6 linked regions of the Oryctolagus cuniculus genome follow. The protein of the gene in region 1 purifies or fractionates together with the protein of each later gene. This does not show direct contact. Links are inferred from orthologs where the notes say so. Each region holds a gene or a part of one and is shown on either strand. Other genes may lie near its edges. The genes, in order: DCAF1, CUL4B, COPS7A, DYRK2, CEP78 and COPS5.

What was found.
Region 2: the proteins of DCAF1 (region 1) and CUL4B purify together in Homo sapiens (affinity purification with mass spectrometry; 9 studies listed by BioGRID and IntAct, with this or other methods). This does not show direct contact. The link is inferred for Oryctolagus cuniculus from reciprocal best matches to the Homo sapiens genes DCAF1 and CUL4B.
Region 3: the proteins of DCAF1 (region 1) and COPS7A purify together in Homo sapiens (affinity purification with mass spectrometry; 4 studies listed by BioGRID and IntAct, with this or other methods). This does not show direct contact. The link is inferred for Oryctolagus cuniculus from reciprocal best matches to the Homo sapiens genes DCAF1 and COPS7A.
Region 4: the proteins of DCAF1 (region 1) and DYRK2 purify together in Homo sapiens (affinity purification with western blotting; 5 studies listed by BioGRID and IntAct, with this or other methods). This does not show direct contact. The link is inferred for Oryctolagus cuniculus from reciprocal best matches to the Homo sapiens genes DCAF1 and DYRK2.
Region 5: the proteins of DCAF1 (region 1) and CEP78 purify together in Homo sapiens (affinity purification with western blotting; 3 studies listed by BioGRID, with this or other methods). This does not show direct contact. The link is inferred for Oryctolagus cuniculus from reciprocal best matches to the Homo sapiens genes DCAF1 and CEP78.
Region 6: the proteins of DCAF1 (region 1) and COPS5 purify together in Homo sapiens (affinity purification with mass spectrometry; 8 studies listed by BioGRID and IntAct, with this or other methods). This does not show direct contact. The link is inferred for Oryctolagus cuniculus from reciprocal best matches to the Homo sapiens genes DCAF1 and COPS5.

What each region holds. Positions count from the first base shown.
Region 1 is NC_091441.1:98,129,356-98,134,235, forward strand, and holds part of DCAF1 (DDB1- and CUL4-associated factor 1), read left to right. Parts: intron 1-718; coding exon 719-917; intron 918-1,367; coding exon 1,368-1,450; intron 1,451-1,936; coding exon 1,937-2,021; intron 2,022-4,880. UniProt on the Homo sapiens protein: Acts both as a substrate recognition component of E3 ubiquitin-protein ligase complexes and as an atypical serine/threonine-protein kinase, playing key roles in various processes such as cell cycle, telomerase regulation and histone modification.
Region 2 is NC_091453.1:98,256,307-98,259,916, forward strand, and holds part of CUL4B (cullin-4B), read right to left. Parts: intron 2,536-3,610; coding exon 2,383-2,535; intron 286-2,382; coding exon 190-285; 3' UTR 1-189.
Region 3 is NC_091440.1:102,788,387-102,793,226, forward strand, and holds the end of COPS7A (COP9 signalosome complex subunit 7a), read right to left. Parts: intron 4,695-4,840; coding exon 4,619-4,694; intron 4,384-4,618; coding exon 4,295-4,383; intron 3,466-4,294; coding exon 3,263-3,465; intron 2,695-3,262; coding exon 2,589-2,694; intron 2,438-2,588; coding exon 2,286-2,437; intron 2,121-2,285; coding exon 2,081-2,120; 3' UTR 1,272-2,080; downstream 1-1,271.
Region 4 is NC_091442.1:70,019,898-70,025,336, forward strand, and holds the start of DYRK2 (dual specificity tyrosine-phosphorylation-regulated kinase 2), read left to right. Parts: upstream 1-1,656; 5' UTR 1,657-2,060; coding exon 2,061-2,109; intron 2,110-2,661; coding exon 2,662-2,810; intron 2,811-3,240; exon of another isoform or gene 3,241-3,565; coding exon of another isoform or gene 3,566-3,625; intron 3,626-5,439. UniProt on the Homo sapiens protein: Serine/threonine-protein kinase involved in the regulation of the mitotic cell cycle, cell proliferation, apoptosis, organization of the cytoskeleton and neurite outgrowth. Functions in part via its role in ubiquitin-dependent proteasomal protein degradation.
Region 5 is NC_091432.1:152,040,058-152,045,606, forward strand, and holds the start of CEP78 (centrosomal protein of 78 kDa), read right to left. Parts: upstream 3,395-5,549; 5' UTR 3,102-3,394; coding exon 2,849-3,101; intron 1-2,848. UniProt on the Homo sapiens protein: Centriole wall protein that localizes to mature centrioles and regulates centriole and cilia biogenesis. Involved in centrosome duplication: required for efficient PLK4 centrosomal localization and PLK4-induced overduplication of centrioles.
Region 6 is NC_091437.1:92,680,917-92,686,317, forward strand, and holds the start of COPS5 (COP9 signalosome complex subunit 5), read right to left. Parts: upstream 3,377-5,401; 5' UTR 3,012-3,376; coding exon 2,869-3,011; exon of another isoform or gene 2,861-2,868; intron 764-2,860; coding exon 529-763; intron 1-528. UniProt on the Homo sapiens protein: Probable protease subunit of the COP9 signalosome complex (CSN), a complex involved in various cellular and developmental processes.

The sequences.
Region 1 (4,880 bases):
CAGGAGCCAGGAGCTCAATCTTGATCTCACTTGTTGGGGCAGCGATCTGTAGAAAGAAGTTGAATTGGAATCAAAGTCAGGACTTCAGCCAGGCATTCTGATACGGAATGTGAGCATCCTGAACAGCATGTTACCAGCTGCATCAGATGCCTCCTTGAACATTGTGATTCCTTAAAAGTCTCATGGAAAGGGATCACAGTTTTAAACGTGGGATTTTTTTTTTTTTTTAAGATTTATTTATTTATTTGAAAGAGTTACAGAGAGGCAGAGGTAGTGAGAGTTCTTCTATCCATTGGTTCACTTCTCAAATGGCCCCAGTTGGAGCTGGGCTGATCTAGAGCCAGGAGCTTCTTCCAGGTCTCTCATGCAGGTGCAGAGGCCCAAGGAGTTGGGCCATCTTCTGCTTTCCCAGGCCGCAGCAGAGAGCTGGATTGGCAATGGAGCAGCTGGGACTTGAACCAGCATCTATATGGGATGCTGGCACTGGAGGCGGTGACTTTATCCACTGTGCTGGCCCCTAAATGTGGGAATTTTTGTTATTTAAATTTGTAAGTGGAGGTCCTTTTCTCTCATTTAAAATTGAAAATGAACCAGTGAAGGTTAGTGTGATATTTTAAAGAACTTATTTCACACCTATTCAAACCTAAGTCCTTCTAGCAAGTTTTCTTTTTGAGTCCCTGCACATTCTATGTCTCTGATTCTCTTTTGTTTTGCTTAGATTCCGTCCTATTTCAGTGTTCCGGGAAGCCAATGAAGATGAGAGTGGCTTCACCTGCTGTGCGTTCTCAGCACGGGAGAGGTTCCTGATGCTTGGCACCTGCACAGGGCAGCTGAAGCTCTATAATGTGTTTAGTGGACAGGAGGAGGCCAGTTACAACTGTCACAACTCGGCTATCACACACCTTGAACCTTCTAGGGTGAGGGTCCCTTCCTCCTGGATGCTCTCGTTTCTAAGATGGGTTGGTGAACTCCTCTTTTATTGGAGTTTCTTGTGAGGAATCCTTACCTCTAAAGTCTAGGTGAAATCGACTGGACTCCAAGGGAAACTGAGGAGTGTGCCGTATCAAGAGAACCGGTTATCTTTGATGTCTTTCCAAGTTTTCTTCCTCTTTTCTTTGGAGCCATTATATTTTTGTTACGAGCTCAGAAGGATTTAATGTGCTGTTAAATTTATTTTCTAGTACACTGCAGGTACATGTATTTAAATCTTAGTGACTTCTGATTATTTCTTGGCTCCTGAAAGTTGTTCTTTTTCTCTTTAATCCAGTAATGCTTTTATGTAAATATTTTAAAAATACTAATGGTAGATAGCAACATCTACATGTATATAAACCCACGTTTACCCTCCTTGGGCCTCCTTCTTTCAGGACGGGTCCTTGCTGCTGACATCTGCTACTTGGAGCCAGCCTTTGTCTGCACTTTGGGGAATGAAATCAGTATTTGATATGAAGTATGTATCTGCTTTTGTAGTCTGGTGTTCCTGTGTTTTGTTTATATAATTTATACTCCATCTATTTGTTGGACTAGAGGCCTTTTGGGAAGTAGGATGCTGTAAGTTATTGTTAACTTCTTCATTTTAGGCTTATGTTTTAATAAAATTTTATCTTTTAATTTCTAGATGCTCCTGGAAAGTATATGCTTGCCCATTTGGGCAGCAGATCCTTCACTTAACTCCAAATGGCCATCTTTATACTTTGCCAAGTTCACATGGGCCATTTACATTCTAATCTTTCGTATTTCAAAGGCACATGTGCCCTATGGTCATTTTTCCAACCAAGGAATCCCTGTCAGGGTATGCTTAGACACACTGCTGGAGGGAATGTTTTTAATCTCACTGTACAGGCGTTTCCTCTGTGGGAGCCAAGGCATTAAGAGGCTGCAGTGTGTGCAGGAGTCTGTCTTGAACATCTTGACCTCTCAGTGCTTTTGTCCGTAGGCATTCCTTCACAGAAGACCACTATGTTGAGTTCAGTAAGCACTCTCAGGATCGAGTCATAGGCACGAAGGGAGACATTGCCCACGTAAGTGCTGGAGAAACCTCTGCTTTCACGCTCACTTTGCTCATTTGTTAATTCAGAAATATTCTGGACTGAATGTGAGGACTTAGTGGGTATCTAGAAATTATAGTGATAGTCCTTCCAGTTAAACTCTAGAAGTGTATTAAAGTAGTTTTAAGTTATATAGGAAAAATGAAATAATTGACTCTGAACTTAATCTTGCAGCTTGAGGAAGATGCTGTTAGCACAGCAGATATCTTTGAGTTCTTACCAAGTTTTAGGTGAGATAAAATCCCTGCATTTTTGGGCTCATGTTAGATGGTTGGTTGCTGCAGAGGAAAAGAAAGAAGCAGTGTAAGAGGGAAGAAATGCTTGATAGTGTGGTCAGGGACTGTTTTGTTAGCTTCACTGATTGGATACTGTTTAAGCAGAGCCCTTGAAGGACTTGTGACTGTCGTGCAGGTGTCATTCTAAGGCAGAGGGAGTAGCCAGGAAACAGCCTTGTTTGGGAGCTGTGAGGCAGAAGAGGGTAAGAGCTAAGGTCAGTGATGGGTACATATCCCGTAGCATCGTGGAGGAGGTAGTTGGGACCTTTAGCTTTTCTTCTGAGGAAGGTGAAGACAACTGGAGGGTGGCAGAAGATATATGACTGGATATGAAAACCTAAAGCATGATTTGTTTCTGTGAGAGAAGCAAAAGTAGACCTTCCAGGCAGGAGGATATTGTATCATGAATAATGGGGCATGATCCAGACAGACATGCAGAGGCCTTGAAAAATGATGGGCCGTAGTCCTGAGGTTTTGGATATGTGAAGTTTGAGATTCTATTAGACATTAACTGGGAATTGAATGTACAGATGGGGAGTTGAGAAGTCTGGGATGGGGGTTAAAATTAGGAGAGTAGTGCTTATATCAATATTTATAGCTGTGAACCTGGATGAGATTAAGGGGGCTAGAGGAGAGGTGTAGGGACAGCACTTGCATGTGCCAGTGTTTAGAAGTTGCCAAATAAGGAGGATCTTAGGGAGGAGACCAGAGAGAGTGACCAGAAAGTCAAAAGGAAACCCCAGGAAAAAGACCTAAAAGCCGAGGGAAGACTGCGTTTGGAGGAATGATTGATCAGTTGAGTCAGAAATTGCTGATGAGTTGAATATAAGAATGAGAACTGAGTGGGAGCGTTGAACAACATAGAGGTTATTATATAGTTACAACTATATTTAGTTATACATAATAGTTCTGGGGCCTGGGCTGTGGTACGGTGGGTTCGGCTGCTTCTTGGGAGGCCAGCATCCCATATCAGAGTAGCAGTTCAACTCCTAGCTGCTCTGCTTCCCATTTAGCTTCCTACTAATATGCCTGGGAAGGCAGCAGTGATGGCCCAAATATTGGGACCCCTGTCACTCATTAGACCAGGGTGGAGTTCTGGCTTCAGCTTGGCCCAGACCTGGCTGTTGTGGCCATTGGGGCAGTAAACCAACGGATAGAAGATCATTCTCTCCCCCTTTGTCTCTCTTGCTCTGCCTTTCAAATAAGTACATAAATCTTTAAAATATAGGCTGTACACTGATCAGACAAAATCTTGGTTAGAGTGGTTTCATAGGAGGAGTGAAATAGACACACTGAGTATAGTTAGTTCCTTTAAATTATTTTGTTGGGATACAAAGCAGAGAAGTAGAGTAATAAATAGCTTGAGGGGAGAATTTAGCATGGTAAAGGGAGGATTTCCCTCAACTTTTCATTTGAAAATGTTACAACATACTAAAATCATATGGAAAGAATGGTACATGTGTTCACTACCTAGATTCATCACTTTAATATTTTTCCATACTTTCTCTATGAATGTGTTTTTCTCAATTTGAAAGTGAGTTACAAGCATCATTACAGAACATGCATCATCTTTTTTTTTAATATTTTTATTTATTTGAAAGGCAGAGTTACAGAGAGGCAAAGACAGAGAGAGAAGCTTTCCATCTGCTGGTTCATTCCCCAAATGGCTGCAACAGCTGGAGCTGGACCGATCCAAAGCCAAGAGCTAGGAGCTTCTTCCAGGTCACCCATGCGTGTGCAGGGGCCCAAGCACTTGGGCTTTCTTCCACTGCTTTCCCAGGCCATATCAGAGACCTGGATCAGAAGTGGAGCAGCCGGGATTTGAACTGGTGCCCATATGGGTTGCCAGCACTGTAGGCGGCGGTCTTACCCGCTATGCCACAGCGCCGGTCCCTGAACATGTATCTTCTAACAATAAAACTATTTAATTACATAGTCACATATCCAAATTAAGAAAATTAGAGTAGTTCTCAAATATCATCTAATATCCAGTCCATGCCCAGTTTTTCCAGGTGTTCTTGATGTGTTTGATTTCATATATGTTTTTTTTTTTTTTCCTGAACTAGGATCCAGCCAAGATTCACATATTGCATTTGGTTATTATGTTTAATGTTTTAAAAGCCAAGAACCCTTTCTCCAGTTCTCATGGCACTGACTTTTGAAGAGACCAGGCTAGTTGTCTTGTCCCATGATCTGGATGTTTGTTTCCTTGTGGTGTTTCCTTATTTGTTTCCAAATCAAAAGAGTTTTTTTTTTTTTTTTTTTTTTTTTTTTTTTTTTAAAGAGATAGGAAATATTATAGCACACTTGTAAACTGATGGGAAAGATCTGGTCTCTGCATGAGTTGTGCATTGTAGCCTTTGGAAACTTAGTAGGTGGACTAAAATAGGTATATTGGGAGGTTTTAAGAAGAAAAGAGTATTTCTTAGATGTTTTTCTTTATAAAGTGACCCTTAGAGAGTATTCTGTGGGTAATCATTGATTGATCCATATGGAGAATTTCTCAGTTTTTATCTTAGAAACATTTTTCTGTTTCTTGAAAAGGGAAAAGGGAAGA
Region 2 (3,610 bases), on another chromosome or scaffold:
CTTCTTAAAGTAAGTATTACTCTTAAAAATGGGCATGTTAACCACTGAAAAAAATGTTCACTCAACTATTTCCATTACACCGCTTCGTTTGGTCATTGGTAATAAAAAACAGAGTCAGATAATATAGGATCAACAGGTTAGTTTATCACTGGCTACTGCATAGGACCCCAAGTGTGCCAAGGTCAACATCTATGCAATATAGTTGTACTGGTTTGGATTTTCTTTATCTCTTTCCATGTAGTCCCGGTCAATTAAGGATTCTATTCTCTTCTTAAGATCAGCAGGCTGTTAAGAGAAGGCAAATTTTCAATGCAAAGTTTATGATCATTGGCTCAAACTCACTTACTAACATGCCCCATCAAAAAAAGAAAATTTTGGTTTATTGACTTAATATATGTAATCTTACCTGTTCATATTATTTAAATCTCTATTTTAGAGAAAAATATAATAAAAATCAGGTTAAGAAGTATTTTATACATATACTACAATGCTACACTTTTGCAACATTTTCTATTTTATTTTAAAGAAATCTTCCCAGAACCAGCTACTCCCTGCACAGTTAAATACAAAAGACTAAACATAACAGAATTTCACATGAGGAATACATTATAGCTTGAGAAATCAGAAATTTAGTTTTGCTGAGATAGTTTGAGAGGACAATCCACTTTTACTTTGGGCAAAAGCTAATTCTGCAAGTTAAGTTTAATTTTTATAAATTAACTTAAAATATGGGGGCCAGTGTTATGGTATGAGTTAAGCCACCATCAGCATCATATATGAGCACCAGTTTGAGGCAGCTGCAGCCATTTGGGGAGCGAATCAATGGATGGAAGATCTCTGAATCTCTCTGTAACTCTTTCAAATAAATAAAAATAAATCTTGACAGTTTGCCTTCATGACTGTATTCTTAGCTCTCAGATGACAAAATTCAACTATATGCTTGAGTGTATGTCTAGACTATAAAAAGTACAGGCATCCTTTGGTATCTGCAGGCATTGCTTCTAGGATCCTCCCTTGCCCTCATGCCAAAATCCAAGGATGCTCAAGCCCCTTATACAAAATGGTGTAATATATGCATATAACCCATGTACATCCTTCCATATACTTTAGAATCAACTCTAAATTACTTATTATATCTATTACAGTATAAATCCTAAGTAAATAACTGCTATTTTGCATTTTTTAGGGAATAATGACAAGAAATAAAGTCTGTACGTGTTCAGTACAGCCCCACTGCTTTCAAATATTTTTTTATTTATAGTTGGTTGAATATGCACATGTGAAATCCACAGATATGGAGGGGTCAACTGTATCATCTTGCCTACTAAATTTTTCATAATATGTAAAATGAAAGGGAAAGGAATCTGATAGGGCAGTCAAAACTTTAGTCATAATTTTTATCCAGTAATCTTAAAGTTCAATAAAATGATTTTCTCTTCATTATAATAAAAGACCTAGAATACCAGAACAGTCTTTTTAGGAAAGCAATCCCTTAACTTCCCTAGCATCAGTGATCTCTATGGCTAGAGGTGCAGTAATTGTTAGGCAGAGCATGAGGGTGACAGAGCTGTAATGAGGTGACAGTATCAGGCTTGGAAGAGAGAAAAAAAACCTCTTAATTAAAATAGCTACTGAGGGCTGATTATATGCTAGGTCCAGTTCTGAATTTTTCATATTCAGGATCTCATGAAAACCTCATAATTATATAAAGTAAGTACTACTATTAGCAACATTTTACAAAAGAGGAAACAAGCTCAGGTGAAGTGATATATCAAAGTCCAAAGTTTATAGAAATCCTAATAGCCAGGAGTCTATTAAAACTCTTATCAAGAGTTTATCAACACAAGGGTTTGGAAATATTCTGGAACTTACACAATATTCCAATACAATATCACCCTATATGTCTTCATTACTGGGCAGTTACCTTGGAATATGTCCATTAACCAACCAATTTCAGTTGACCAGAACTATCATTAAAATTTTCAAAACGATACCAGTCTGTACACAGTTCAGACACTTAATGTAACCTAACCAACAGATTTGACTCTATCTAAAATAATGACATCTGGCAAATATCAAGGTATTTCAAGGAGAAAAGAAATAAGAAAGAAGTTCAAATGAAAATAGTGAATGAAAAAAGTTTAAACAACTCATTTAGCAGTTAAACTTACAAGTTTGAGAGTTTTACTAAATTGTTGTCCCCTTTTTTCACAGTTGCCCCTATGCCAACAATTTTTTTCCTGAATCATATGCATCAGCATGGGAAATACTTTTGTTTCACCAAATGCTCTTGAGGCTTTCATCTATGCTTACAGGATTTGTGCCTGAAAATTTAATGTATCCTTTTATAAGAAGCTCAATATGAAAACACAGAATACCTACCTTTACTGGGAATTTCAATTGGTTGTACACTTCTGAAACAAGCAAATTGTGACTAAGTGTCTTTCTCATCTTCATAATTCGAACAATTGCAGCATCAATTTGATATTGTCTGTCTTGAAATACTCTTTCTGTAGTACTTGCTTGTTCCTCAACCTAACAAGAGGGTTTTAAATTTAAGAATTATACCTGAAGTGAAACATGATTACTTATACAAATTTGTACATTTTAGTGACATACCACTCACTGCTTTAAATATACTGAATTATCTAAATGGGACCTTACAGATGATGACAGAAAAAACCCTGCAAACATAGCTCCTTTCTAATTATATTGCCCTGTATCAATGAAGTAATGCCAACATTACTTAGCAGAAAATACTATCTTTGAACTACTTTTCTGGAAGTAAGGATGTTTGAGACAGAATTTACCATTTTCTTTGACTCTCTTCTAAATATGTCAGTTACAAGGGGTTGTTGACCAGATTTCTGTATAACAGTATCTCATCTATAAACTGACTGACTTCTGTCTCAAATCATGGTATTAAGTAGCTAAGTAAACTGGTTGGCATCAAGTTCTTTGACAATTAACTTTTATTTTGTAATATATAAACCAGAAATGCATGCCATTAATGCTTACATTCCTTTAAGACTAACAGAGATTTAAGTGTTTAGCAGTTTATCACACTTGATGCAAAATTAAAAATGACAACCTTTAGTAACTGAACCAAAAGTTTAGATTTTGTTGCAGCAGTTTCTTTCTAGTACAGCTTAATTTTTTTCATTTAAATTCAATCTAGGTCTCCCACATGGGTGGCAGGGACCTAACTCCCTGAGCCATCACCTGCTGCCTTCCACAGTGTGCATTAATAGGACACTGGAATCAGGAGCCAGGACCCAAACCCAGACACTCCCATATGGACTGTAGGTGTTCCAAGAAATGTTAACCACTGCACCAAATGCCAACTCCATAGCATAAATGTCTTAAAAAGTAAGGTTATGATAATCCTTTAAGGGAGTATCATTCCTCTGATGCCTATGTAAATGTAACAGGAACTTTTTTGAAGATACTTATCCTTGTCCCACATTAAAATTGTTTCTCAAATATTGCATTACACATTGTTGGAACTGAATAACTGGTTTCAGAATGCTACACTTGGTTTCCTTAATAAAAATCTCTTGCAAATTCAAATGCCAAAATAAAATATTCACCTCCACTGTCAATAAAACAA
Region 3 (4,840 bases), on another chromosome or scaffold:
GGCCCTGGCAATGAGAACGACTCCTCTCCCTCTCTGGGTATAAAGCCAAACAGTCAGAGGCCAGCCTCTAGTGAGGCCTTCAGAGCCATGCACTGGAGTCTGGAACCAGGGGTCTAGAGAGTTACGGGGCCTTCAGCTGGGGGCAGCTCACAGGAAAAGGGGACGATAGGCGCAGGTTGAAAGTACCAGGAACTCACAATTCCTACACTTGAGTGGGAGAGGAAGACGGGGTTGATTTCAGAGGCAGACGCTGAGAACCAATGCAAAACAGGTTCAAACCCGATTCAAAACAGCTTGTCTAGGGCAAAGTTGAGAAGCCAAGTGTGCTGAAATGAGGCTCACTGCACAGGTCCCGTTAGGTCTTCATTCCCCTCACAGGACAGGAAGTCTGGGGTGGGAGTTGTATTGAACGGCTGCACGGGATGCTCACATCCCATAATCAGAGTGCTTGAATCCAGTCCTGGCTACTCTGTGCTTCCAAAACAGCCTCCTGTTGAGGCACCTGAGAGGCAGCCGACGATGGCCCAGTACGTGGGTCCCTAGCACCCCTGTGGGAGACCTGGATGGAGTTCTGGGCTCCTGGCTTTGTCGTGGCGCTGTCATGGCTATTGAGGGCATCTGGGGAGCAGACTAACAAATGGAGATCAAGCTCCCTCTCTAGCTCTGCTTGTCAAGTAGGTGACAATAAACATAAAACACAAGAAAAAACCCACTAAGCTCACCCAGTCTACTTTTAATCAAAACCTCAAGACCCCACTCCTACTGGCTGGCTCCACGACTGACAGCTGCAGGGCCGGTGTGGAGTGGTCTCTCTTCAGCCTCCACCTAGACAACCAGCACCAGCTCTGCAGAGAGGGCTCCCTGCCGCCTCCGCCACAGCCTCCCGGTTCCGAGGCGTTCACGGCAGCACTCTGGGCCAGGCTAGCAGACTTCCTGCGAAGTCCTAACTTGGAAGAAGGGCAGGAGCCCAACTGCGTGCTCCTGCCAGATACGATGGCTGTGACTGTGATGTGAAATCCAAGTTCGTCATCAATCTTCCCCTGAGGATTCTCTTATGATGCAGGAGGCAGGGAGCATGACCGGCACACGTGGGTGCTCAGGAAGGAGCGCTCATGTATGAAGCAGTCTGTCCAAAGCCACAGGGCACCAGGACTCGGGATTTAGAATCTGGTTCTCATCATTTTCCAGCCCTTTTTTAGAGTAGACTGGGAATGAGTCTTCTTCCCATCCACAAATATCAAACACAGAAGATACCCAGTGCAGGACATGTGTGTAGATAGACTTCTCATAGATTTATTTCTGTGTCATGTTATATATAGATATATGCATATACACCTTTTTAAATACAATCTATATGCCCTCCCTTCCCCACCAAAGTCACAACAGGGGACATAAAGCCTTGCAGGACTGCCACCAGGCTTCCCAAGATGGTCAGGGCCCACAGAACCATCTCTCAGCATCCTAATAACAGCTGCCCTCCTTGGGCTCTGGGGTTACTGAAGCTGCAGCACTCCCAGGATCCAAGGGGAAGAAGGAGGAGAGGAGACAACCGTAGTGTGAGAGAATTCTAGGATGAAAGTGTCCAGTCATTCAGAATGGCAAGCCGGCTCCCAAACTCTCAGGGTGGGCATAAAGGTAAGGGCCCATGGCCCTTGAGATGCCACCCATAGGTGGGGGTAGGGAGTGATGGGGGGGACAGGCATGCAGCAACATGGCAGGAGAAGGAACACCTGTGGGTTATGCTGGAGACAGAGCAAGCCCCGTCAGAGCTAGCCCCTTACCTGGCGACAGATGTAAGGAACAGGATAGATGTCGAGCTCTTAAAGAAACAGAGCACGATGGGGAAGGGGGCAATGCAACACATTAGAAAGTCACATAAAACAAAAGTACCAATAAAAATGTGACCTGTACTTGCCTCCTCCCCAGAGAAGGTGTGATCTGCTTGGGGGTGGGGGTGGGGGTGAAAGGTCATGAACTGAGGATTATCAGCTGGCCAGGGGCACAGGAAAGCTCTCTGAGAACTCCTAAGGGCAGGCAGGCAGCTGGGACCCACAGTCCCAAGGAAGAAATGACAGTCCCTTCAGTTCGACTTGGACCAAATCTTGGCACTCCCTCGGAGCCTGGCAAGGGGAAGAGAAAGAGAATGGGTGCAGGGACTCCCTACCCCCAAAGCCTCCCCCAACTCCCTATCCCCATGCAAAGGATGAAAGGAGAGGATGTAAGAGCAGCTGGGGCCCCGAGCTGAGTGGAGTGCCCCAGGGCAAGAGCTCCGCTGCCCGGCTCACCCTTTGCCCTTTGAGGCCTTCTTGCTGGGCTGGCGCTGGTTGGTGCCTGCGGCAGGTTCTCTCAGCTCAGTCAGGTGTTGCTCAGGGTCCTGAGATGTGGCTGCAGCCGCTGCCGCAGTGGTAACTTTAATGGTTTTCTTAAGGTTGGCAACCTACCAGGATGAAAGCCATAGGGGGGAGCAAAGAAGTTTCCGGAACATGATAGACTCTGCCCATCTGACCTGTCTGCTACAGCCATGGTCCAAACGCCTCTGCACAGGACAAGTGGCCCAGGCTGGGGCAGTGTGGGTGAGCCCTGCTCACCTCACTCTCAATCTGCTGCTTCAGGCCCAGCTGCTGCTCCTTGTGCTGGTTGGCCCGGCTCACTTGCTCCTCAATGCCTGACAGCACAACCTCACAGCCCACACACCTGCAGGGTGGGACGAGGAGACGCGTCAGCACAGAGGGCTGCGAGCACACTCATGACAGACAGACTCCAAAAGACCCGTAGCTCCCAGCATCTAACCCCTGTCCGAGCTGGGCCTTGGCAACCACCTACAGCAGTCCCCCCAGTGAGACAGACCCTCAGGTGGGACAGGAGAGTGGCAGGGAAGTGCCGCAAGTGCTGGGCAAGTCGGAGGAGAAGCGGAAAACCAAAGGGGTGGGGGATGAATGAGGACGGACAGTGAGGTTAGACAGGAGCAAAGCAGAGGCCTGTGGCCAACGGCGGTCACAAACCAATGAGTTGAATCCAGCCTAGACAGGTGACTGACGTGGGTAGCATCCCCGCTCCCTCCCCATGCACTTTACCAAGGATACTGCCTCCTGCCTCCCTGGGCCGCCTCCATCCCTGCCTCAGATGCCTTTGGAGGGATGGCTCACTTTGCTTCAGCCTCCTGGGTCGCAGCCCAGCCCAGCCCCTGCTCTCTCCTGCCCTGAAGTACCTCTCCCTTTCTTGGGGTGAGGAGGGGAGGGACAGTGCCGCCCTCGGCTCTCACCACTCCTGCAGGGTTCGGGCGATGGCGCTGAGGTCCTGGCGCTGGATGTCTCGCCCGATGCTGTAGTCCACCTCCAGCCGCTGATTGCGCTGGTCCAGGGAGCCGCGGAGCACATCCGCGTACACGGCCTCGATCACCAGGTCCTCCAGCTGCCGCACGTTCCGCAGGGCCAGCGCCTCCAGCAACACTGCGTATGGGATGCACTGGGCCCGGGAGGCCAGGATTTGTGAGGAGCCGCAGCAGGAAGGGGTTTCCAGAAATCATCTTCCCTCCGCCCTGGCTCATCTGCCCTCCGCTCTGTTCCTATACCACTTCCTCTAGGGCAGAATAAGTAAATGTATTCCCACCTCAAGAAAACAGCATGAGAAGGCCAATCTTAAATAAAACACAAGACTTAAGCTCCCTTACCACCCTATTTCTCCAGACCAGAGCGAGCAAGCAAGCGACACCTGTCTGGGGTCATTCCTCTGGCCACAGCTCAGGAGCTCAGGCAGCCCTGCATCAAGATCACCCTGGCACGGTGGGAATATGCGGCAGGGGAGAAGTCTGACCTCTGCACAGGCATTGCACAATGCAGAGCTCGGTTTAAATCAAGTCAGGACAGTAACAAGACAGTCAAATAACAACTGGGAAACCTCAGCTTGGGGGGTGTGGCAGGAAACTGAGGCCAGCAGGAATACAGAGATCCTTCTGCGTTATATGCATGTCTTACTCCACCAAACAGAAGCCTGGCACCTTGTCAGAAGAGAGCCTATTCCAGCTGAGGCCGTGGGAACGGAAGTAATTGTACAACACATGCATGGCACCCTCGTTGCCACTTTCAGCAGCATACAAAAGATATTTACTTAGAACTTAAGGTGACTGAAAACTTACAAAGAGAAAACTAAGAGAAGGCTCAGCCTAAATGGCTCGGTGATGGACTCCAGACAGACCCTGAGGGGGGCAGGACGAGGCAAGTCTGGTCCTGGGACATCCTAGTGTCACCTCCCAGACACAGAGAAGGATGCCTAGACCTGGGAGACTGCCACTCACCTTGACTTTAGCAGCCAGCGTGACCACGGAGAGGTGTCGAAGCTTATTCTTCTGAGCCTCTGTGAGTGGGGGCAGGTTCCGGGCTTCAGCTGGGGAAGAGGACAAAGTGGAGGAAATCGACTGCAGTTTTGTGGGAAGCCTACACTTCCTTCACCCTTGTTTTTTGTTTTGTTCTGAGTTTTTCAATCTGATTCAGGTCTTGACCCTGAAACTGTGCACCCAGGGGACCTATGTGGGGTATCCCAGGAATTTTCTCTTAAAGTGCCTCCAAAAACCGCCCTTCTTCCACTCCCATCACTGCACAGCTCCAGCCCCCCTGGTTACCTAAGTAGTCAGCGTACGTCCCATAAGCAAACACGGTGAGCAGCCGGAACGTGGAAGCAAAGTCACTTTCGGCGAGCTGCAAGGTGAGGCAAGAGACGTGGTGATGGCAAGGGCTTCCCTCGACACCCTCACTCTTTCCAGCCCCACCTTTCCTGGAAAATGTCGCCCCTCCCCCCAGCTCACCAAGAGGGGCTCTCTGATCACTCTCCTCACAGGTAGGGC
Region 4 (5,439 bases), on another chromosome or scaffold:
CAGTCCGAGATGAGTTCAGGCTTGATCTCTGCTACTTGGTAGCACTTTACTTTTGGCTAATTTTGTACTCTTAAAATGTTTCTCCCAGTTGGATTTGAAAGTGTTATTCTCTGAGAACATGCATGGGGAACTTTTTTGGTAGGCCAGTTCAAGTCATGATTCTTCTAAAGGTACAGTACTGCATTGACTATTTAACTGTGGCTCACCTTAATTAGGAGGAAGCTTCAAGAGGATTTTTTTTTTTTTTTTTTTTTTTTGGAGGAGGGGGACGTATTATCGGCCAAATCCGGATTCCCTCTGCCAGGGCTCCAACCCTGAAGCAAGACCTCTGTAGGAGAGGGTCAAGCTGTTACCTTGTCACTCTCGGATCCTGGTATCTATGTGAAGCTGAGGGTGAGCTCTGTGGGAGGTTGCTGTGACAATTGCCAACAGGAGAGGCGAGGCACTCCGCAGGAGGTGGCTCCCTCCCCCTGGGCTTTGCCTGCTAGGTCCAGCCAGGGCCGGAGATGGGGCTGGGCAGAGCAGAAAGCACCCATGTCCCCGGCAGAACCTCAGACACCTGGCATCTCTCAGGAAGGAAGTTCAGGGCGACTTTCTGCCCTCATCCGGGATTTGTCCGGTTCTGCCCCAACCTCCTCCCAGACCGGTGAAGTGGCAAAACTTGGTGACCTTTGGACAAAGGCGCACAGCGCGCCACCCAGGACGGGGGCACGGGTCCGAGGCGGGCGAGCACGTTTTCAGTCCACCAGGGAAAGGGAGGCCGCAGACGGCACAATGCAAGGGCAGACACATTCTGCACGTGCCTTGGAAGCCGGCGGGAGAGCTTGGTCTGCGAGGATGCGAGCAGAGAGGCAAGGCGCTGAAAGGAAGGTGTGTCTCTCCCAGCGGCCGCAGAGGGAAGGCTGGAGTTGCAAGGAAATGGGAGGCGTCTCTGGTGTTGATTTTTGCCTAGCAACCCACAGCCAACTGCTTCCCCGGCTGCCGTCCACGCGCGCCTCTCTGCCTCCCCCTTGTCCTAGCGACTGGAGAGCGGTCACTCGGTGTCAGTAAAGCGGGGAGGGAGAGTGTGGTGGAGGTGGAGGTGGCGGCGGGAGGGCAGCCCCCTTTGCCCGAGCTGGGGGTTCCCGGGCTCAAGGCGGCCCCGCCGCGGGGCTCGGCCATCCGCGGTGACCCGCGCACAACTAAGTTGTCCACGTGATGAACCGGGGGACGCGGGTCGTTAAGTCCCCGGGCGCGCTGCGGGGGAGACAGTATTGTTCGCGAGCAGCCATTAGGTCCGCCAAGCAGAAAATGCGGCCGTGTTTGGGGGCGCGCGGGGAAGGGGAGGGGTCTCTGCAGCGAGGTCGGTGGGTGGGGGAGGATGCGGGGGTAGGCTGCGCTCAGGGCAAAGGCGGGGCCCGGCAAGGGCTAGGGCAGCCGGGGAGGGGGCCAGGCGTCGGTGCGGGAGCGAGGGGCAAGGGGCCGATGGCGGGAGGCGGACGTGGCCGAGCTGTGCCCGGAGCCGATCCCGGCTGTGCAGGCGCCCGGGCGGCCGCGTGGGGGTGGGGAGCACGGCAGGGTGCGGGACTGGGCCGGGGGCAGCCGGGGGCGGGGCCTGCGGCGGGGGCGGGGCTGCCCTCCCGGGGCGCGCGCGGGCGCGGGCGCCTGGGCGAGAGTGCGCGGGGGCGCGCGCGCGCGCGAGCCAGGAGGAGGCTCTGGAGCTAGGCGGTCGGCGCGGCGCTGCCCGCTCCCCGCGCCCCTATGTGAGGGAATCGGGGAGGCCCGCGGCGCGCAGGGGAGGGCGAGGCATGAGCACGGGCCGGGGGGTGCTGCGGCCGCCCGAGGAAGAGGAGGACGGCGGCGGCGGCGAGGAGGAGAGCGGGGGGCTCCCGGCTGCGGGCCCGGGCCGAGGGGATGCAGCCGGCTGTGTGTGTCTGGCTGTAGCTGACGCGAGGCGGCCAGGCGGCGCCGGGGACCCGCCCGAGGGGCGACCGGGAGGCGGCGGCCGCCGCGAGAAGTAGCAGCGGGACCGGCGGCGGCGGAGACGGCAGCCCTGAGATGCATTTTCCTCTCCAGCGGCCATGTTAACCAGGAAACCTTCGGCCGCCGCTCCCGCCGCCTACCCGACCGGTAAGGAGGGCTGGGCCCCCCGCGCCGCCCCCGTCAGCCCCAGGCCAGCCCCGGAGCTCGTGCGGCCACCGCCGCGGGACCTGGAGCGAAGTGTGCGGTGGGGAGCGGGCAGCGGGCTGGCGGCCGGCGCGCCCTCGCCTCGCCTCGCCCGGCTCCGCGCATTGTTGCACGCGGCCCGCAGGCTCCTTCGCGGGAGCCCTCGGCCCCCGCCGGGCGGCGGCGCGCTGGGGGCCCGGGCGGGGTGCGCCGGGGCCGTCCCCCACCCGCGCTGTGAGCTCGGAGAGGCCGCTGCGCCCTCCTCGGCCCCGGCCGTCCGCAGCGCGGGCCGCGAATCCCCGGCCCGGCTCGCGAACTCGCGCGCCGGTGCCCGACTTAACTTTGCCGCTGTGGCGCCCCGCCCGTGGGGGCGCGCTGGGGAGCCGGGGCCCCGGCGGGTGTCTGCCACTGGAAGGAGGGGTGTTCTGCCCGGAGGGGCGGTGGGGGAGGTCGGGGTTCGGATGACTTTTTTCCGCCCCTGACCCTCTTTTGTCTCCTCCCGTGCGTGGCTCCCAGGCCGAGGAGGGGACAGCGCCGTTCGTCAGCTTCAGGCTTCCCCCGGGCTCGGCGCGGGGGCCCCCCGGAGCGGAGTGGGGACCGGCCCGCCCTCCCCCATCGCCCTGCCGCCTCTCCGGGCCAGCAACGCGGCCGCCACGGCCCACACGGTGAGACCCCGCCCGCGGGCGGCCACGGGTGGGGGGCGGCCTGGAGGGTTCCCTCGGGGCACAAGCGCCCGGGCTTCCGGGGCTCGGACGCCTCCGAGGGAAGGTCGAAGTGCGTGCGGCCCCGGTGACTTGGGCGAGCCCCAAACTGCAGCTACAAAAGGAAGATTCGTGGCGTGGGCCCCCACACTTCCCCCCGCAGAGCTCGCCCACCCCCAAGCTTGCCTTCCTCATTGTCGCTCTCCTTCTCCCTTCCTTATTTTTTCTGTCCTTGCTTCTCAGAGCTCCACGCCCTGACCCGGTAAACATCTGTCCTGCCCCCCCCCAACACACCCTCCCGTGGGTCGTGGCTATTTATAGAAACAGATATGTGTTAGGGGACAGTCAGGCTGTCCTGCTAGGAAAATCGATCCCCCCAAGAGCCTCCCAGGCCCGGCTGCAGCCAGCAGGGAGCCCCACCAATTGTCCCCCCGCGTGTGTAAGCATGTTTTATGAGTGCTACAGGTTTGAGCACAGCAGAAATTGTAATTAACATTAACAAAAATAAGCGCCACAGCAGCAGTCAAAACAAAACCAGCCACCCCGGCAGGATCCTGCAGTTGGGCATTATGGGGCCAGCCTTGCTCCGGAGGTGGGAAGACCAGGGCACCTGACAGGTGCTGTGTGCCCTCGGAGCCCCAGGAGGGAGGGGCCGGCCCAGCCTGGCCCGGCGTGGGACCAGCGGCCACCATGGTGGGCAAGCTGCCCTGGACTCCAGCATGTGCTTTCGCTTTGCTCCCAGCGAGAGCCCTCGGATGGAGACTGCCAGCTCCCAGGAGGTGATCTCAGGGTTCAGAGGTTTTGCAGCTTCCAAGCGGAACCACCTAAAATGGTTCTGCATGAGGGGTGCGATTTTGTTTGCCAAGTGAAAAGTTGAGTTCTAGCAAAGGGGAGCAGCTCTGGGGATGGTGGGTTCTGGGGAAACCTGTTTATCAGAGAATCAGAGAGGCAATCTAGGGTGCAGTTTGCACCTGTTAGAGCTAGGAAGCTGCTTTGTTATTTACCTCCCTTCTGACAACACAGCAGTTGCCTAATCAGTGTTGGATTGTTGATGTCAGGGAGAGTCTTGTTGGGAGGATGGATGATTCTGTATTTGTTAAATGTTCTTATCACACTGATGTTTTAGAATCTGCCATTGGTTTTAGGGGTTTGGGTTTTTTGTTTGTTTGGTTTGGAATCATCTGGCAATTTGGCAAATGTAACATCTAGGGTTTTTTTTTTCCCCCCTGTGTGTTGATATACTCACATGACGTGATGTGAACTGGAAAAAAAGTACTTAGTTTACAACTGGATTCCAATTTTGTCAGGGTGCACTTTGTGCCATCAGAGCCTCTTTACAATTGAAATGTGTAGTGAATGTAGGGAAGGCAGAGTCTCCCCTGGAGGAGCAGCCAGTACTGCTGCAGCCAAGACGCCCTGTGTATGTGCTTCTGAGGACTGGCCTGTTTCAGACATTATGTTGCTGCTGATTAGGTACATGCTTTCAGAACTGTGAATGTGGTTGGTCGTTGAGTTTGGATTTTATTTGTGTAACATCGCAGATTTCCTAGAACAGGAGAGTTAAAGGAATATAGAGTTTATCACGTTCTGCTCCTTTGATTTGCAGAGGAAGAAACAGACATGTTAACTGGTTTGGTCAGGATTCTCTAGTTAATTCCTATCAATAAACCCCACACCCTCCCGAGTGTGGTTTTGACATACTGTCCCACACTGGTAATCCTAGGAGATTGTATTAACTTCATTACAAGTGAAGAGCCTTTGCAGATCCGTATTCCCCTATGTCTTTCAGGTTTCTGTAAGTTTTTTAGTTTTTAGTTCCAGAGCAGTTAGGCCTGGGAGGAGTTGCTGTGGAATGACTGGGGGACAGGGGCATTAAGGAGAGAAAAATGACCTGGTCGCTGGAGCTTGCCCATGCCTTCTCTTATAAATGATGTAGTGGGCAGGTCAATATGTAATTATGCAGACTATGAACTTCAAAATTTATTTAGTCCATGTCCCTTTATTTTCTATCTTCATGCATGTCTTAATTATAGTGTATTTCTTTGTCCTAAAAATATTCCCATTTGTCCTCAAAGTGTAACTATGTTTATTTCTATCAATTTTTTTTCTTTTAGTGTTACCTGGAAGATGTTAATATATTTGTTTTCAAAATTCCAAAGTGTTGATATGCATCACTTTCATACTGTTGGAGTGTTTGAAGCAGTCTCCCATTACCAGATTCACCTTTATTAAAAAATTGGAATTAAAGAATGACTATTCACATTTAAAAAATAGTAGTGTTTTGAAGAAGAAAAAGTAGACATTTGACTCAGGGCCACACAGACTGTCAGTATGTTTGAGGAGGAGCTAAAATTCCAGTCTTTTTGGACTCAGTTCTATTCCCATAACACTACACAGCATTTCTAAGTTGACTTCGGAAAAGTTTTGAAAACGCCCAAAAATATTCACACAGTGAAAACTCTGCTGTTTGCCATTTATTGTTGGAAGACAGTGAGGCTACTCAACTGCTCGGGCTATTGTTCTTACATAATTTTTAATACGAAAATATTTCATGGTCAGAGAAAGCTTTGTAGGTCCCACCATTTTAACAGTT
Region 5 (5,549 bases), on another chromosome or scaffold:
TGTGGTGCCAGCATCCCATATGGGTGCTGGTTCCAGTCCCAGCTGCTCCACTTCTGATCCAACTCTCTGCTATGGCCTGGGAAAGCAGTGGAAGATGACCCAAGCACTTGGGCCCCTGCACTCATGTGGAAGACCCAGAGGAAGCTCCTGGCTCCTGACTTCAGATTGGTTCAGCTCCAGCTGTTACAGCCATTTGGGGAGTGAACCAGAGGATGTAAGATTTCTGTCTCTGCTTCTCTCTAACTCTGCCTTTCAAATAAATTAATTAATCAAAAAAATGTTAAAGAACACAGAAAATCAAATTAAGTTTATTTAAAAAAAGTTTAAAATATCTTTCAGGCCACATCTTCTGAATCCTCCTTTTGGGTAACCTATATTCTCCCATGCCTTCACACACCTGTCCCCCACAAAGCCCAAATCCATGTTGGGCCCAGCCTGCCTGGTAGACACATTTAGATGTCCTACAGGCCCTTCTTAAAACATTAAAGATAACCAAGATCCTCTCCCTACCCCTTATCCCCTCCTGCCATGCAGGGTCCAGTGGAAGGAAGTTGCGTACACTGTCACCCAAGCCTGCTGCCCTCCCTCTTCTCACTGCTTGCCGGGCCCCACTCATTCTCCAGCAGGTGAAATCCAGCCCTTCTGCCCTGTGCCTTCCTTTGGGCCACTAGCTTACCCTCTTTGCAACTTTAACCTGCCTTCTCTACGGAGGCCAGAGTGAGCTCCTAAGTCACAAGTCCACCTTGTCCTTCTGTGCTTCCCCACCATCGTCAGGATCAACTGAACTCCTTGATTGATGGGACAAGCAAGACTCACACGTTGCCAGTCTCGGCTCTTCCCCAAACCCTAAATTCCAATCTTGTACCCCAGCCTGCGTATTCTCCGCTATTTTTGAGAGGTCTGCCCAGACTACTCCTTCCTGTCCACCTGGCTACCTTCTACACAGTCTTCCAAAGGACAGCACCTCCTCTGGGAGGCCTTCCCTGAACCTCCCTCTCAGTTCTGTGTTCTAAGCCACAGACTCCCTTTTCTCCCACAGCACTGATGCACAATGCTAGGGGTAGGGAACTTTTTTCTGCCAAGAGCCAGTGGATATTTATTCACGGTCTTACAAAATTATCACCTTAAAATTAGCCTGCTATAGATTTACAGGATTTTAAGGCCCTCCCAGGAGGACCAGACCAAATGACCTTGTAGGCCTTATGCAAACGGGACATTCCCCACCCCTGTTCTACCTGCTTCCAGCCCTGGTAGAAGGGACGATGCTTTAGGACAGGGTACTCCAGCAGTACTCGGTGCAGACTGAGCTCATTCTACTGCCAGGACACTTTACACACATGATCTGCTTTAACCCTAAGAACTCACTCAGAAGGTTGTCTTAATGCCATTTTACAAGTGTGGGAACCACAGTTTACAAAATAACTTGCCTTGGGGCACGTAGAAGGGTTTGCCTTTAGAATTCAAACTCTAGGCTGCTTCTAACCCTCATATGGTTTCCACTATAGGATGCTATTCCTTAAAAATCTTTAACAAAAATCTGTCATTATTAAAAAGAGATGAAGAATCAGGTGGGAACACACAAGGGAACTTGAAAAGCTGGTGGAAAATTCAGAGTACCTTTTCATTCCATTTTCCCACAGACTTGGCAAAGCCCCCTTGCACATGTCAGGTGAGTCAGATTTCGTCCCACTCTATATTGTTCCTGAATGACCATGAAAGTTCCAAACATTGATTATGCAGTTACAGATCAATTTAACCATGGTGAAGTTGCAAATACAGAATCTGCAAATAATGAAGATGTTCAAAAAAATCCCTGGTTGGCAGGAGATAGAATGTTTTTTTGTTTCACTGTATATTTTTTCTTTTTTTTTTTTTCATTTTCAACTTGTCTGCTTTTCTGCATTAAGCCTGTTATTAAAGGAGGAGAGACAATTCTACACTTTCCTTGTCGAAAAGGGAAGAGGAACAGCCTAGCCAGAGATGAGGACTGCAGGGAGCAGAGCCAGTAGTCCTCACTGGTTGATAACAAAGGCAGCCACAAAGAGTCTACACACTCCAAAATTCCACAATTCTCCCAGCCAACTGCCTGCAGGGTGCATCGGAGCTAACGTCTCAAGTCCACACCAAACATCCCCTCCCGATAGCTTAGGCTGGATTCACACGCTTTCACCCTCCCCAGATATCTCCAACAACATCTCAACGTATGCTTAGACGCTGACTAATGAGAAGTTGTGATCCTCTTCCAGTTCAATGCAGCAAATATGACTTGAGCTCTATCAGGTACAAAATGCCATCCTAAGTGCTAGAATGAGTAACATTTTGTCACATGTCATGATTTATTTCATATGTTTTGCTAATAACCAAAGGGTCTGGATGCCTAATTATATAGTCTTACATTCGTAAATGCTTTGCATGTGTACAGCACTTTACAAAATGCTTATATAAACGTTTTAAACATGAAGAAAAAGGCTGGGATGTATTGACACCCTAATCGCTTAATTCTACATCAAGCCAATAAAAGCCATTCAATAAAATAGGCAACGTCAGTCGGACATTCAATGCCATCCCAAACTCAGCTAAGCGCTTCACACCCATTAACACGGGGAATCCTTGCAATCACCATGTAACACGGGTTCTGTGATTAAGGCCATGCCACGGATGAGAACGCCGAGAGCGAGAGACCTAAAATGAATCGCCGAGTCACCCGGGCGCACACCCAGTCTGCTGCACACCTTACCCGGGCAATGGGCACCTGCACTAGGGCCCAGGCTCCACCGTGTATCCAAAAAAAAAAAAAAAAAAAAAAAGGAAACCCGACGTCGCAGCACTGGAAGCGGGAATTACAAACCTGTTTCCCCAAGCCACGGCTGGAAGAAGCTCTTGATGGAAATCAAGGGCAAATCTTTATTGATCTTGAGGGTGCTCAGGAGCGGCGCCCAGTCCACCATGCGGAGGCGGTCAGCGTTGAAGTCCAGCACGCCCTCCCGGAGGCAGGAGCGCACGGCGGGCAGCGGCACCGAGTCCTGCAGCGCGCACAGGTACTCGTAGTGCGAGAAGAAATCCGCCGCGCTGTCGCGCCGCAGCTTCACCGAGTCAATCATGGCCAGACCGCGGCCACCGGGGACGCCAGCCGAGCACGCTACACCCACACCCACCGAGAAGCCTCGCTCGCCGCCCGGCTCCCCGGCTCCCCACGGCCCCGAGGCTCTGCAACAAGACACAGGCTCAGCGCCCCAGGCTAGGGCAACCCCTCGACGCCGTACTCCCGCGTCGCCTCCCGCCCCGCGGCCCCGGCCGTTGGCTCCCTCCTCATCCCTCGGTTACGCGGGGCTTCGGTTCAAGCCCTCTGGCGGGCACCAGAGAGGGCGGTGCGCGCAGACGTCAGCACGCTCGCTGTGCGTCGGCACGCAGACCACGCCTTTCGGAGGGCGGAGCCTTGGGCAGGGAGGCTGGCGGAGCCCCCGGGGTGGTGGCTCTTGGGATATGGGGTTTGCTTAACAAAGGGTTGCCTAATGGATTGATTTCTGGGCGGGCGTTTGGCCCAACGGTTCAGCCACTCGTTAAGATGCCCGCATCCGATATTGTAGTGCGAGATTCTGCTCCTGGTTTAGCTGCCGATTCCAGCGTCCTGCAGATGCACAGCCTCCGAGTTCTTGGCTCCCTGACGCACTCGTGGGGGACCCGGATGGAGCTCCCCGCTCTTGGCCCAGCCCCGACTGCTGCGGGCATCTGGGTAGTGAGCCAGCAGGTGGGCGCTCAACTCTTTCTCTCTGCCTCTCAAATAAAATTTTTAAAGTGAACTGTGTATGTGGCAACGCCATTTTAAGGACTCCGTCTAAACTTGTGACGAATGTGCGCGGTGCCCAGGACCGAGATGACACTCCATAAGGGATGGCTGAAGGACTGATGGGACCTCTGAGTGTTTCCTAGCTATTACTGTCTACGAATAATTCCTAATCTCTATAGTTCCTACTTACACGGTTGTTGGCAAATTATTTCATGAATCAGGGATTATATTGGGTTTCTATGAATCTGTTTTGTCTTGATGATGATAATGATGGCTAATTCCCTGAGGACTTGCACTCTCTATGTCTTAGACGTTATTTAAGCACGGTGTAAGTATGTTTAAGAAGTCATTTTCCTGACATGTTCACAAGAGATACACTATTTTATGTCTGCTCTACAAAACAGGAAACAGGCACAGAGCAGTGATGTTAATACAGCTCAGTTAGTGAAGAACCTGATAATTGACCTCAGAGCTTGTATTTGGATCCAGTCTCTAAAACAATGATAGCCCTCTGCTCTGTGGTTCTGTGTATAGCTTTCTGTCCCACCACTGCATTCAGGATACCCAACTTACTGCCAAGTCTCTCCCCCCCATCTCCCTCTCTCTCCCTCTCTCCCTCTCCCCTCTCTCCCTCTCTCCTCTCCCCCCCCCCCCTCTCTCTCCCTCCTGAAATTCTCTAGGTGTGGTCAGCAATGACTTTCCATGCAGCAGTCTGGAATAATAATGTAGTGGTACTGGAATACCCACGAATCAGCTATGTCACCTTATCATTCCTGTTGAAGATCTCAGACCAGTGTAACCATCATACCACTCACAACTACATCCTAACTGACACTGAGGAAACCATTTTTTTGAATTTGTAGTCATCATTGCAATATCTCAGTTGCATATGTAAATAAACAGCATAGGACACTGTACTAGGTTTTCTGATACTTAATTTACTGTTGCTTTTGCTAGGTTCATCCATGTTGACATATAAAGCTATAGTTCATTTCTTTTCCCTGTTGTATAGGATTCCCTTCTAGGAACTTACAATTTATCTATTTTTTCCAATTTTCAGTATGATCTCTTTGTTGTACATCCAGCATCACTTAATGTGATTGTCCTTTACTCTTGGGCTTCTCTTGCTCACCCATTTCTAAATACTGTGGCAACTGACAAGTGCAGCTGCTCAGGGAAGCCTTTATCATACCAATTAATCTTTTAACATGTTCATTTAAAATTGACTTTTCTTAAGCTTACTTATTGTCAGTGTGGCAAGATTCCTTTCAAGGCTTGTCTAATAATTTCTTCTCTACTTCAATGTAATTATGACTTCTTAGTAGCATCAGTTCCCCTTTCAGCATCTAGGGGGTTCACCCACGTGCTTCCATGAACACTGGCAGTGAGAGTGGACCCTGCACAGGATCTCTGGGATCCTGACAATGTAGGCTCACATGTGGCCCAACACGAAATGCTGGGGAGTAACATGCTACTGGGGAGTAACATGCTACTGGGAAGTACAAGGGATGGGCTCTTCACCTTCAGGGAGTCTAATGAGGGCATATTGGACAAGAATACAGTTAAATGATACCATTTTACCTCTTACTCTCAGTACTCTACTCCTGGTCCTTCCTAATAACGTGATATCCAGACTTCCCAGCCAACTCACTTTTCCATTGAACCACAGTGGTAATGCTCTCTTCTCAATTCTAACATTGATCCTCTCTGCCTGTTTCCAGAGCAGGTGGATCCAATTACAGAGAATGTCAACTGGACTAGC
Region 6 (5,401 bases), on another chromosome or scaffold:
CTCAGCCCAGAAGCTATAGTGACAACCAGTTACTTACCTACCTAACAGATGTTCTTAAAATACATGTAGGTGGACACACACACACACACACACACACACTAGTACAACGCACAGTGTTTTACACTTTGCTTTTTCATTCAATAAACTATTCTGGATCATGCTCCAGATAAGTAAATATATATAGGTAGCTATCTTTTATTTTTTAACAGCTGCCTGGCAGTCCTCTAATGACTGTACCATAATTTATTTAACTGGTTTTATACTCAGAAACACTTAGCTTGTTCCCAAACTTCTCATTTTAAGCACAAATCTGATAATGAGTGTGAACCTTGGGAAATTAAAAAGCCCATGGTCTTACAAGGCTTATGATCCCATATATTTTACACACATATCCAATTTAAAATAGAAAATTTAACCTTGAGAGGATAGCCTTAACTTCAGAATCTCAAAAGTTACCTTGAGACTCTAACACAGTTTAATAAACAAGATTTTTTTTTGTTACCACAGTTTAATAAACAAGATTTTTACCTGTTTGGCGTTTTCTATGTATGCAGCCATGTACTCATATGCTGCAGCTTGAGCATTTACTCGGGTTTCAGTGCCCTCTACAGGCAAAGCAAAACTGTCCATAATGATCATGGTTTCACCGTCCACCTTTCCTAGCATCAAGCCCATCACCTCCAAGTTGCCTCCTGATCTGGCATGCATCACCATTTTCAGTAGAGCCAATGCTGAGATTTTGCAGTACTTAAAGTAATGATGACTACAAAATAAAATCACAATGTAATTATATTTCTTATTTGAAATAAAATATCCAAAGACTTTTTTTTTTAAAATAAGTTACTGAGAGAATTTAAATTGATATAAGGGCTGTGTAGAATGTGGGAAGTAGTAGTAAAGGACAGATGACCTGCATGGGTATGGAAATAACAAACATGTCATACTCCTGCAAAATATTCCCCCCTGGGGAAAGGAAGGGTCTGAAACAGTCCTCTCTCTCTTTTAACATGCTATTCAAATGTGGAAGTAGCAATGAGTTCAAGAGACTTTTCCTCTGTTGATTTGCAATGATCAAATATCTGATTCTAATACTGGATGGATGGCTGTGTTTAACTATTCTTAGGCCTAACCTTTTGGTCTAATGGTTAAAAGAATGTGGGCTCTGACATCTATCTGCCTATGTTTGACTCTTGCACTGCCATTCCTTAGCTGTGACATTAGGACAACCTCTTAATGTCTGCGTGTCTCACATTACATTGCTTAGGGTAAGCGGGACTAGTTCAGAGTCATTAGGATGAAATAAAATGAATGAAATAATAAAGTGCCTAGCTTTAGTGTCTGATCCAAAGTAAAACCTTAATAATGCTATCTGTTTTTAGCATTATTAATTTCTGTTACAGTATTCTCAGTACTCTGAAACAACAATATTTTGAAAGATGTGGCTTTCCTCTGTAATATCAGCCTCAAAATTAAAAAGTGTCTCTAATATCCTTAGCTGTCCCATGATCACTGTTCTTGAATTTGTCAGTGGTGGCTGTGAGTCAACTTTTAAGTAAAACTATATTTTGGTCTGACTGATGCAGCCCAAGACAGCTAGGAGGGATATAATTAGAACTACTGTGAGACAGTGTAACAAAGTGATGGCTTCCAAATATCTAACAGAGGAGGTCAACCTAAAATGTACAGCTGCTATAGAAGTCGACAACCAGGCAACCTAACCAGCCTGTACGCTGTACAGAGTGGTTAGTTGGTGTTTCTGAGCTAAATGTTTGCCCAGAGAAAAGCACAGAAACTTAATTCCCAACCTTTGCCAGATTTCACAAGCTGAAAAACACAGAGGCTTGGTGTTGGAAGTTAAGATACAAATTAAAATTGTGTTCTAACGGGAAAAGAAAAAAGATAACTGTTATTGTGCTCCTATTACATTGCCTCAATGTGATCATGAGGTATTTGCTTGTTTCCTTACTTGAAAAAACGAATGAAAGTACAGTACTGGGTTGTCATGATGATTAAAATGACAAATGCAGATCCCTAACTCAGTGTTTGGCCCATGTTGAGTTATCAGTAAACACTGCTGCACCTAACTGACAGTTAAAGCTAGGCTTGTAAAAGACGGTGTGGCAGGAAGTATGTCCTGGGCTTGCCACAGCTCTCCTTTGTATCTATTAAACAGTTTTCTTTTACTCTCTTTTTACTCTTTCCCCAACAAAAGTCTTCTTTTGGTAAAGGATAAATGTTATGGATTAATAATCCTTGACTTGTCATCACTCCCAGGGATGCATGAATTTTGCTAAGGGGTAAGAGCCTTAAGGTCTATTTTTTAATCTCAGACTTAGGTGACACTGGTGGAGTAATATTTTAGAAATTGGTTAGAGGCTGACTGTGCCTCTGAAATAATTACCAGCAATCAAAGAACTACTACAGATCTCTAAAAAGATGGCTCACAGCTATCTGCAAGACAGGTGAGCTGCTGACTCAATTTCTGAAAAGAGCTGCGGTTCCCGTCAGGGACCAGCTGAAGGCCCCAACAAGGTGTAGTCCACACAGGGTTCAAAGCAGATACTGGCAGATATAATAATCAGGATGTTGAAAAGTGATAACCTAAATCTCTGCTTGCTGTTCATCCCTTACATCCTCCAGAGGCAAAAGAGTTAACAGACAGAACGGGCAAAGCAGGCCGCAGCGGAGGAGCATACACTACACGTGCGGGGATGAAGGTAGATCAAATTCTGTTTCAGGTGCATAATCTCTCCTGGACCATGAAAAGCCAAGCCGTCCACCCACTCCAATTCCCACTCCCCCACCCTCGGGTCTCTCAAACTCTAACCACCCCGTCCCTCCCCTGCGAGTCTCCAGGGACCTCCTCACTCCTTAGTCCAGGGCTTCGCCGCCAGGATTTCTTGCTGCTGTTTTTTGTCGTATTTGTAGATTTCATCGATGCTCTGGGCTTCCTGCATGTTGTTGGCCAATTCCCAGGTTTTCTGGGCCATACCGCTCCCGGACGCCGCCATCGCCGAGGAATCAGAGAAGCTTTCGCTTCTACGGCCGAGACGCAACTTTACTTTTCTAGCTCCCTGGGTGTGGGTTTTGGACCCTTCCCACCACAGGTGCAAACTCTTCCTAGACTCTCGAGGCAGCCATGACACCTAGAACCGGAGGTGAAGTTGGTACGGACCATTCGGGGATGGAGGGGGCTGTTAGGAGAAGCGACGATAAATCGGTAGTTAGTGTAACAGCTGTGGCAAGGGGAATATTAATGTGGGTTAAATGAGAACATATCGTCTTGGAAAACTGTATCTATGAAATAGGGCAAACACAATCATTTGCCATGGGAATGGTATAGCCTTTCACAACGGAAGAAGGGCACGTTAACGTTATGCCAGAAACTGCCGTGGCCTCTTAGTTAGTACTGCGCAGGCGCATTTTCCGCCATATTAAATGTGGGCGGAGCTGCAAGTTGGGCAGAGGAAAGTGTTTTCGTGTGGGTGTAGCTGTCTTAGATGGAAAGTTTCTTGAAAGACTAGGAAAAAAATAAAAAGGATGTCTGGAGAAATTTAAATGTAAGTACTGGATTTTGGCTGCGAGGAAGATAAATATGGCATCCTGTTTTGCTTCCAAGTGACCCAGTACACATGCGTAGAACTGCGGGCTCGTGGATTTCAGGTGGGCGTTTTCTAGCGCTCGCGGGAGGCGGCAAAAGCGAGTGAATTGTTACGGTTTTATCCTGTGACGTAGACGTTTCATGTCCCTACATTTATTATGAGCTGTTAGTGATGCAAATGTCCAATACTCAGTTCTCATGAGTTAAGTCTGCAGCGCTTAATAGCCTGGACGGAGTTAATCTCAGCAACCTTTTTGTTGCCTCCCGTTGATACTATGTTTGTTTCCTGTGTTTGGTTTACGTGTTTTTCCCTCTCTTCTCCGTCCGCACTAGATTCTGCGTTTAAAGACGCAGGGACCAGTTCTGTGCTCTTTGTTTTATTTCTAACACCTGGGTGTTAGGGATAAAGATCTTTTTGCTGGAAAAAAAGAAAACATCGCAGCTCTTCATAACCTAGTCCCTACGCACCTCTCCAGTTCCATCTCTCTTCAGTTCCCCCTTGAAACCTTTCTTTCCAGTAGTGCCATTCCCCACACTTGGACTTAGCACAACAGTACTCGGATGTGGTCAGCGTTGCTTGATTAACACGCGCTTCCCTGGCTTTTCTGCCTGCGAGCTCATATTAATCTGAAAGCACAGTTCTGAGGTCTGTCTTCACTCTCCAGGACCATTTCTTCCACGGTGTCTCCAAGTCTGTAAGACAGGTACTTCTTAACTCGCATTGTGTTGTAATTATGTACGAGTATCGGTTTACATGGAGGTTTCTTTTTTTCAGAGTTCAGGATACCTCGCACTGCCTTGAATCCTCCACTCCTAGTAGGGTGCGTGGCAGATCGATAGAACAAATAGAAAATTAGGGTTATGGAATCCACACCACAGTCTGCGGTTTTGACATTTTCAGCTTAAAATTTGCCTTTAAAGTCGACTTGCAAAGTAAGGATAAATTAGGGCCCCTAGGAGACATTAGCATTCTTAGTTTCTTGCGAAGTCAAAAAATCTTTTTCAGTGGGAGCATTTGATTACTTAGTATTGGTGTGAATTGAATTACACGTTGAAAATGGTATTGAAAGCCCGGGACTTGCGCTGACCAGACTCCTGGCTTAGGAGAGTGTGCCATTGGTATTCTTCTTACTGCCTCTACCTTCCCGGACCTCAGACTCAGGCTGTCCTCGGATCGACCGCGGAGTGGTGGGTTGGAAAGCAGGAATTAATTCAACCTGGGAAGCGACTCCCAAGGTTTAACAAAACCCTGGGCGCAGGTGGGTGGCTGTGCGTCCTCCGGGAAGGCAGGGGGCGCCCTCGGTCGCGCGGTCCTCTTAAGCGGCCGCTCCGGAGGCGGGGCTGCGCCTGGCCGTTGGCGAGAGGCGGGCAGAGGGCCCAGCTTGAGAGGCGGAGTCCCGGCCGGCTTGACTGTGACAGTGTTCGCGCGCCAGGAGGCCGCGGCCACCTCTGGGAACCGCTAAGAACCTTAGTAGGACGCTGTGCGTCTCCCAAGACGCGAGCCTGCTGGTCTGAGTCAGCTGACCGCAGGTGGGGAGCAGGCACGGCAGGGTGAGGCCTAGGGTGAGGTGGAGGTGAGGGTGTCCGGGCTGGATTCGCGGACCTGGGGCGAGGGGCTGGCGGCGACCCGGCCGGCAGCGGTGCCCGAGTTACAGGGGCCGGGCGGTGAGGGGGTTTTTGCCGGGCGAGGGGCTCGTCTCGGGCCTGCGGAGCGGGACGGGGGAGGCAGGTAGGTAGTCGAGCTGGCGGCGGTAAGGAGGTTACATGGGTTGGAGGTGAGGGTTCCCTGCCAGCGGGGTC